Nothobranchius furzeri: one gene and its partner. The protein of the gene in region 2 binds, or shares a complex with, the protein of the main gene of each other region. Links are inferred from orthologs where the notes say so. Each region holds a gene or a part of one and is shown on either strand. Other genes may lie near its edges.

Evidence for each region.
Region 1: the proteins of kdrl (region 2) and vegfba are in contact, whole or in part, in a crystal structure (PDB 2XAC), measured with the Homo sapiens proteins. The link is inferred for Nothobranchius furzeri from reciprocal best matches to the Homo sapiens genes FLT1 and VEGFB. Residues at the interface, in NP_002010.2 of Homo sapiens: Tyr139, Glu141, Pro143, Phe172, Pro173, Tyr199, Ile202, Gly203, Leu204, Asn219, Leu221, Arg224, Thr226; in NP_003368.1 of Homo sapiens: Ser37, Trp38, Ile39, Tyr42, Thr43, Thr46, Cys47, Gln48, Pro83, Asp84, Asp85, Gly86, Leu87, Cys124, Arg125, Pro126.

What each region holds. Positions count from the first base shown.
Region 1 is NC_091741.1:87,957,962-87,961,798, forward strand, and holds part of vegfba (vascular endothelial growth factor A), read left to right. Parts: intron 1-1,776; coding exon 1,777-1,860; intron 1,861-3,248; coding exon 3,249-3,497; intron 3,498-3,837. UniProt on the Homo sapiens protein: Growth factor for endothelial cells. VEGF-B167 binds heparin and neuropilin-1 whereas the binding to neuropilin-1 of VEGF-B186 is regulated by proteolysis.
Region 2 is NC_091741.1:84,303,442-84,307,787, reverse strand, and holds the start of kdrl (vascular endothelial growth factor receptor kdr-like), read right to left. Parts: upstream 3,081-4,346; 5' UTR 2,867-3,080; coding exon 2,809-2,866; intron 1-2,808. UniProt on the Homo sapiens protein: Tyrosine-protein kinase that acts as a cell-surface receptor for VEGFA, VEGFB and PGF, and plays an essential role in the development of embryonic vasculature, the regulation of angiogenesis, cell survival, cell migration, macrophage function, chemotaxis, and cancer cell invasion.

The DNA of each region.
Region 1 (3,837 bases), about 3.7 Mb from region 2:
AGGTGTGGTTGACTGAAAATGTTAATTCTCATTATGATCAGTCACTCTGAGTTTTTCATTCAGGCTGAACATTAAAACAGACTCCTATACCTATCTCCTGCATTAGCTTCTGATAGAAAATAGATGGTGAAACTATAGGATTAGAAAAGCCTGACAGATCTACATCACACTGTGAATTTACAGAATTCATGGACTCAACAATCTTGACTCAGGACTGGAACGTGTTGTTATTTTAGCGTCTGGGAATCAGCAGCAGACATCTTGGCTAGTTTAAGCTAACCATTATCATTAGCAACACCAACACATAGCAGGAGCTCCTCCAGGCTTGAGTTATTTGTGGAGCTAAGCCATCCTAGTGGCAAGTCAGTGGTAGAGTAGTGTTGCTGTTATCCAGTCTGTTGTGAGATGTCCAGTTATCAAGATAAAAGTCTCCAAAACCTCAGCTGAAGCTCAGCTGTGATGTGGGCAACTTTTAGGTCCAAGAAATGGTGTACATTTCTTTCCCGTTGAGAACGACTTACAAGGCATTCAATGCTACTATAAGACCACTGCAAATGTATTGATTAAACGAGTGATCCACTTCTTTAACAAAAACGGTTCACAAAATATAATGTGGTTAGTTTTTTAGGGGTGGGACTCAAAAATTAATCCAATTAATCAGAGGTATTGTAAAGAATTAATCTGGGTTAATCATATATTATTCATCCAAGAAAATGTACCTTCAAACAATTTTTTATTAAAAAATTAAAGATTTCTCATTGAATGGAGGCTTTTCTATATTTTTGACACAACCTTGTCCTTCTCAAAAGATAGGTTTAATCTCAGCTATCCTAACGTTCTGCGATAAATATTCAGGTGTTCTTTATAAAGTATAATTTCTCCATCAGCAATCTTTTTTGCAAGAAACCAGGAGGGTGGAGGTAAAATAAATCACACAGCGCTTGTTGTGAAAACCCAGATTTGAACCACATGTAAAACAGTTTTTCACTTAATTTATTATAAAGTTTTGTGGTTCGGTTTTCTTTTTAATCCCACGTGAGACTATTTAATTCACTCTTTAATGTATTATTCTCTCATTACGTCCCACTGTTAGTTGGAATGAAGCACCAAAACAACTCTCCCCTTTTTTCACTGGCTCATACAGCCATACCTTGGCTTGAGTCTCCATTTGGTTTCTGCCAGCTTCAGCAGAGTCATTATTTATCAGACTTTTCACATTTTAGTTCTGATTCATCATCTATTTGTATTAAAGTATGTAAATTTTCATTAACATTTAGGTTAAAATCAGATAAAGTTATAATATAAAGTAAGGATACTTTAAGGATATTTTCTGATGGCCCCTTTTCTTCTTAACTCTAACACACAAAACTCACTGGGAAATCTGCCAGCTGTGATTTTTACTCATCTATTGAAATCTATTCTTATTCATTTTGATTCTTATGTTAAAATCTCCTGACACCAGTTCTCAACTCTCTTTTTGTTCAACAAAATCAGCCAAACATCTAAATGCATGGTCAAGTTGCTTAACTAAAGCAAAATGACTGGAAAGGAATCCTTTAAATCCATATTTGTGACATAAAAGAATAAATAAACAATAGAAAACCATCAGAATGATGTGCTGCCTTTAGATTTAAATGAATTCTGGGATGCATTCAGCACCCGCTGGTTGCTGGGATTTAGGTCTGAATGCTCTTTTTTGCGACAGATGTCAAATCTGATGCAAGACATTGGATGTGAACTTCTGACCACATGTGTCAACATCTTGTCTGTTCTCAGGCCCTACCTAAAGCCAGCGAGAAAGGAGAAGAAAAAGCAGGGCAGGAAGCACAGACAGAGGAAAACTGTAACAGTCAGACCCCCGTAAGTTAAATGTTACATTCTCAACACATATGTCAGAGTTTTAGCAGATCCTCTCAGGCTCAGTGAGACCGTTGTGATTAGGAAAACTGGGTTATCTGATCTGCAGTTTAACTGAAGGACAATTTGTATTACAGCCACAGCAACAGTCAAGGTCACACACACACACACACACACACACACACACACACACACACACACACACACACACACACACACACACACACACACACACACACACACACACACGCACGCACACACACACACACACACACACCATAATCCACTCTTAAACTCCTTAGTCACGGTTATCACCTCAGTGTTGAGCCTGTTGAATAGTACTTGCTATCATCAGCCGTCTGACTTCCTGTCATGTGATGATATGATTCTCACTACATTTGTGTGAAAACATGGTCACTTGCACCCTCACGTCCTGAGCCGAGAAGGATAAAAGGGTTAGCGCTCTTTTCCTCTCCAGTGTTCTTCATCTGCTTCCCCTTCACTTTACTGTCAGTCATTTCCGGCCCCCAGGGGCCAGAGGTTGGCTCCGTTTGGGTGTGATGTCCCTCCGTACCCATCCATCACCCCAAAAAGGCTTCATTCAAACTCTGGCAGGGGTGAAATCTGTGTAATTTGCTCCCAAACGCCACCTCCTCTTTCCATGCCAGCGACAGGCGTGGTCACTGAGACGGGAACAAAGATGGCCCCTCTCTGCCTCATTAAGTAACTTCATTAACACTGTCAGCCTCCCAGGAAGACAGAGGCAGAACTAGCTCCGGTTAATGGACCGACTGATGCTGGCCACTTTCTCAGACTCAGACCTCAGAGGGCGTCTAGAGGTGGAACTGAAGGTCTCAAAGGCAGCAAGGCGAACATATAGCCATGGTAACAGACGGAGAGACAGACGGACAGAGAGGGGAGCTAGTTAGTCAGCAGCTAAAGGAACATTATCCCACATTCGTCACACATCTCCCACACACGGCTTTGTTGGGGTTTGTCTCAGACAGGCAGTGTTCGTGTTCAAACAAGCCCTACATTTTATTTATAGCCGCTCAGGAGGTGCATCACGTTTGTCCAGACAGAAATATCTCAACTGTTATTTAACTGATTGTTGCATTTATGGATACCAAAGCTCTGCATGAATGAAATCAACTGTCCATGACAGTCTTGCGCCTCTTGTGATAAAGTAAAACTGAAAGAATCCATCAGTTTGTCATCATTCAGATCCACCATCAGGCCAGTCTTTGGTGCGACCTGATCGTGGATTAGAACCCACAATCTCCCAGTCTCAGGGCTCATACCACTAAGCCACTGAGCTGGTTTAGTCATGTTATCCAGTGAGTAAATCAATTCTGAAACTAAATACTTGTTTTTGGTTCTTTTCCATCCAGAACCTATGCTCCTCTGACTTCTCCCTCTTCCCCTCCACTGACCCCTCCCACCACCCTCCCTCCCTCACCGTCATCCCCACTGCCTCCCACCACCCTTCCTCCCCCGCTCCCACCCTCAACAACTCCTCCTTGCCACCCCTGCAAAGGAAGGAACTGGGTCCTGGATGTGACGCTGTGTCAGTGCAGGTGCACCCTCAGAGCTGGGAGCTGCAGCCGGAAAGGCCGGAGTCTCAACCCTCGCCGCTGCAAGTCAGTTCACACAAAGGCAACAAATGAAATTGCACTTTTATTAGAAAAACACAGAAATACAGAGATTAATACAAATACAAGGACAAAAGACATTAAATCAGAGCGTTTGAAGCGGTTGGGTTGTTGCCTAAACTTTTACTTGTAGAAAAATGCACTTAGTAAAGCATTCTGAGCTTTTGATAATTTCACAACTCTTCTTTTAATTAAAGAACCCTATATTGAAACATTTAATGAGTTATTTAACATCTGTTAGATACAGAATCCTGGAGAGCAGTTCATTAAAGAGCAAGTCACCCCCAAATCAGCTATTTTCTGCTGATAAACTATATAAATGAGTGTC
Region 2 (4,346 bases):
ACAGGCTCTGAATTGAACAGGAAACCCCGAGTTGCAGACCTTCAAGAGCTGGCGATAATGTGCGGAATTCCCATCTCTTGTGCAGAGAGCATAATTCATGTTCCCGTACTTCCTGTCTGGTAACAAAAGCGTGCAGCCTTCTTCAGAATCGGGTGGAGGTTAATCTTTTTGTGGAACTATAAGGGCAAAAGTAACAATACCAGACAGCTTTATTGTTCCCTTGTCGAATCCTAACAACTGATCTGCTGCATTTGTATCACAACAAAAGGCTGAAAATGTGGAAAGTTTGCTGAAAATGTGCATGAGTCATTGTCTGCATTGTGTGACTGCAGTGAAAGATGGGAAGCACTCGCAAATTACCAGCAAAGTGCAGCAGCTACCCAGACTAGAGTCGTATATGAAACAAACAACTTTCTCTTTGTTATCTGAAAACAAAGCTAAGTACAGACAACTGGCTACCACCTGCCATAATAGGAATCAGTCAGCACTGCTCTGGATGCTTCCTGCAGGACCTCTTCTCTTTGGCAACTGCAAGGTTAAGACAACAGTTGTAGAGAGCACCTTTTTTACCAGCCCTATATTAGCCTTTGGAGGTTTGAAAGGCAAAATGCCCCAGACTCCTCTTAAAAAAGCAAATGAAATGAACATCTGGCCATGATGGGTGGCCATGCAAGGTTATATAAAGTCAAGCAGAGCCAACAAACAGGAATCTCCTGCATGAAAGTACCAAAATCCAGTAAATTCCCTTTCCATAATGTTTAATTAGGATGCTCAGGCAGACAGAAGCTCCTTGAAATTGAAATCTCATGCAGGATTTAAAGAAATCATACGGCTGCATCCAGATATTTGGATCATATGCTGCAATGATCTTAAAAGGATGGAAAAAACTACAAAATCTTATACTTAATGAGACTGATTTGTTTTTTGTTCGGGGCTGCCTGTAGGACTCAAGCATAAAACCAGCGAGATAAGAGTCTCCCACCGCATTTGGCTGAGCCCATCACTCCAGTTTTACAGCATTTCTCAAGTGTCCAAAGAGGAAAAATAAACTTTTCAAAGCATAAAAGAAACCCAGCATCCACCTGTTCTAAATCAAAGACTTTCAAAATGACCTTGACAGTATTTTAAATTAGTGGTTCCCAACTTAGTCCTTGACCCCCCAAAGAGGTCACCACCGCAAGATTGCCTTTACTGAGGTTGCATGGTTATAAAAATTATTTTTGTAAAAATTATATTAATAAAATAGCAATAACACAGTCAATAGTACAATTAAGACTCTGTATAAGAGTTATAACTGTGTATGTCTGTTTAAAGTTTGTCATGAATCACTTTTAATGTGGGTAAGAGTTGTGGCTGGGGAGGCCCTGGCCCGTCTTGAACACAAGCAAGGGGGTCCGCGTGGAGAAACGTTTAAGAACCGCAGTTTTAAAGGATCAACCCTACCACGCAAAGTAGAAGGAAATCTTCGTTTTCCAAATTCTCACTTGAATATCACAATATTAAACATATCAGAGACAAACCCATCTCTTTAATTTGACCAGTTTACAACCAGTAAATTCACTTGAAGAACTTCATCACATCAAACATGCTGCAATAAACTTCTGGAGTCATTCTGATTTGTTTGATTTGGTGTCAAAAGGTCACAGACATGCACACTTGACCTGTTCTACATAAGGTTATCCTTTAAATGAGGTTTTTCTGCTTTGTCTCATTAATTAGTTCCTTAAGAAGCTATTTTATTTAATCATTTTCTTTTTTACATATCTGTGGGTTTTTTTCCAAACCTGCTACACATATCAGCACTACCAGCTAACCCGTCATAAGATAACTAATGGCTCTAGCAGTCAGAGGTTTATTTGCAGACACAATGCCCCACTTTCCTCCTTGCTATTGTCTGGTGTGTGAGGTTTGAGATAAGTGCAAATCAGCTCAAGAAGCTTCGGGAAGAAATCTTTGCTCAGGTAGCGTGTCACATTTCCGTGACCTCTACTGGCCAGAACAATTCCAGGCTGCTTCTTGTCCTTGCATCCGCTTCCTCTGGGCGTCTTTCCCACGCTTTGTGCGTGGACAGTGAAGGAAATCTGCTTAAAAACACTGCAAACAAAGCTTCATACACTCTAAGTGTGTGTGTGTGTGTGTGTGTGTGTGTGTGTGTGTGTGTGTGTGTGTGTGGAATGTGAACAGTCTTTCCTTTGTTTGGATGGGCTGTTTATTTGGAAGCAGTGAGGAAGCTACGGTGTGTATCTCAGTGGTACAGTGGACCTGGCACAAGGTGGAGGAACATCTATGTTTTCTACTCTCTGCTTTGTTTTGCTGGACTTGAACACGGGAACAATGAGGGTGATTCTCCTGTCAGATGAAGCATTTTTCCTCCAGTGTTTTATCTTCCAACAATTGCTGGAATAAACATGTCATCTATTAAAAGAAACAGCAATAAATACTTAATTTGAAGAAACCCGAGGAAAACCTGATCAGATCAAAGTCAAAACCAAGACGAATCAGAATTTTTATTAAGTTTTAGTTTTATATACATTGAGTTTTTTTTTTAAGAATAACTTCAAAGAGACACGACAACCTCTAGTGGTGTGTGTGAGAGCCGCAGGTCCAGGACGTTCAAACAATATAAAAACCTTCAGGCATCAGTTACAAACCGAAGAATCAATATTATCTTCAGAATAAAAAAAAAATTCTGACTACAACAAAAGTATGAGGTAATTCATTCACTGAGACGATTTCATTCAACTGTGTCATTTTCAGACATGCGTACCAATAAAAATTCACAAATAAAAGGTCTAATTGATTTCTTACCAGCTGTGAATGTAGAGCAGCAGGAGACGATCATCATGAAGCAGATGAACGAGGTCATTCTGCCAACTTCACCAAAATCCTAACCGAGGTCAAAGTGTTGAGATAAAATTCCTATCAGTTTTTTTTTGTTTTTGTTTTTGTTTTTGTTTTTTAAGTTCCGGTAAAACCAAAGTCTCCCTTCAGTGTGAGTTCATTTAAAAATAATGTTGGTTGTCTTTTAAAACGTGTCCTATAAATCCACAAAAGCTTCAGGTGTGCAAGCAGAGCGCTGCGGTGGTTCTCCAGTGTCCCATGACGCGTTACGCGGGGGAACTCTCCAGCTCAGACCGGCTCCAGCGAAGAGGAGGCGGATGTGCCAGCGAGCAGCAGGTGCAACCAAATTCAGTAATAACAGGAAGTGTCCACGAGATGAAACATGAACAATTACAACATTTTAGTTTAGTTCTTCGTTTGTGTGTGAGCGGAGGGATACTAGAAAGGAAGGATCAATCAGTGCCTGGCTTTTACGCGCGCCTCTCTTCTCGCTCCTGTGCAGCACTTTCAGTCCGGTCGTGAGACGCGTGTTTTATAAAGACAGAGGAAGGACGCCACGTCACTTTACTGGGAGGACACCCCGAACTGGACACTTCTGGATTAAAAAAAAAATCAGCGTGGACATATTTATATAAAACATACTTATCAATAAGAGGACCGGAAGTAGATAATTATTCAAATACTGATGACAAAAAGCTCTAAAATCATTGATCTTATAAATCGAGGGTGTCACGTTGTAAGAAGCAATAATAATGTGTAAGCTATAATTAAAGTTCATTTTCATTTTTTTTTCAAGATTACATTAGTAAAATGTTACTAGTTAATGATTTATTAGACCTTGGTGCACACATTTAAAATAAGGCAACAAAAAGGATGAATTTTATTTAGAAAAATATTACAGTTTTAAAAGTTTTAGCAGAGTACAATAGTGAAATAAACACAGTTTTACACATGATTTTCACTCAGAAGAGAACAGATGTTTTTTTTCTCCCAGCTGTTTTACACATGGGGGAAAACATATCAGTCAAACACAAATAGATGATATCAGTGCACATCATAATATTAAATATGACTTAATTACTGTTAATCAGTCAGTCAATCAGTCAAAAACTGATACACAAGTTAATCAGGTTTTGATTAGGAATAAATGATTCATAATTTTTATTTCATAAATGCATTTTGCTCAACTTTATTTTCAACGAAAATTAAATGAATTAGTGTTTGACCCTTTAATACATTTTCCATGTTTTCTTTAAAATGTCCATCCATCCATCCATTTTCAAACGCTTATCCAGAGTCGGGTTGCGGGGGCACCAGCCTTAGCTGAGAGGCCCAGACTTCCCTCTCCCCAGCTACTTGGGCCAGCTCCTCCGCGGGAGTCCCAAGGAGTTTCCAGGCCAGGTGAGAGACATGGTCCCTCCAGGGTGTCCTGGGTCTTGCTTTAGGACTCCTCCCAGTTGGACGTGCCCAGAAAACCTCACCAGGGAGTCGTCCAGGAGGCATCC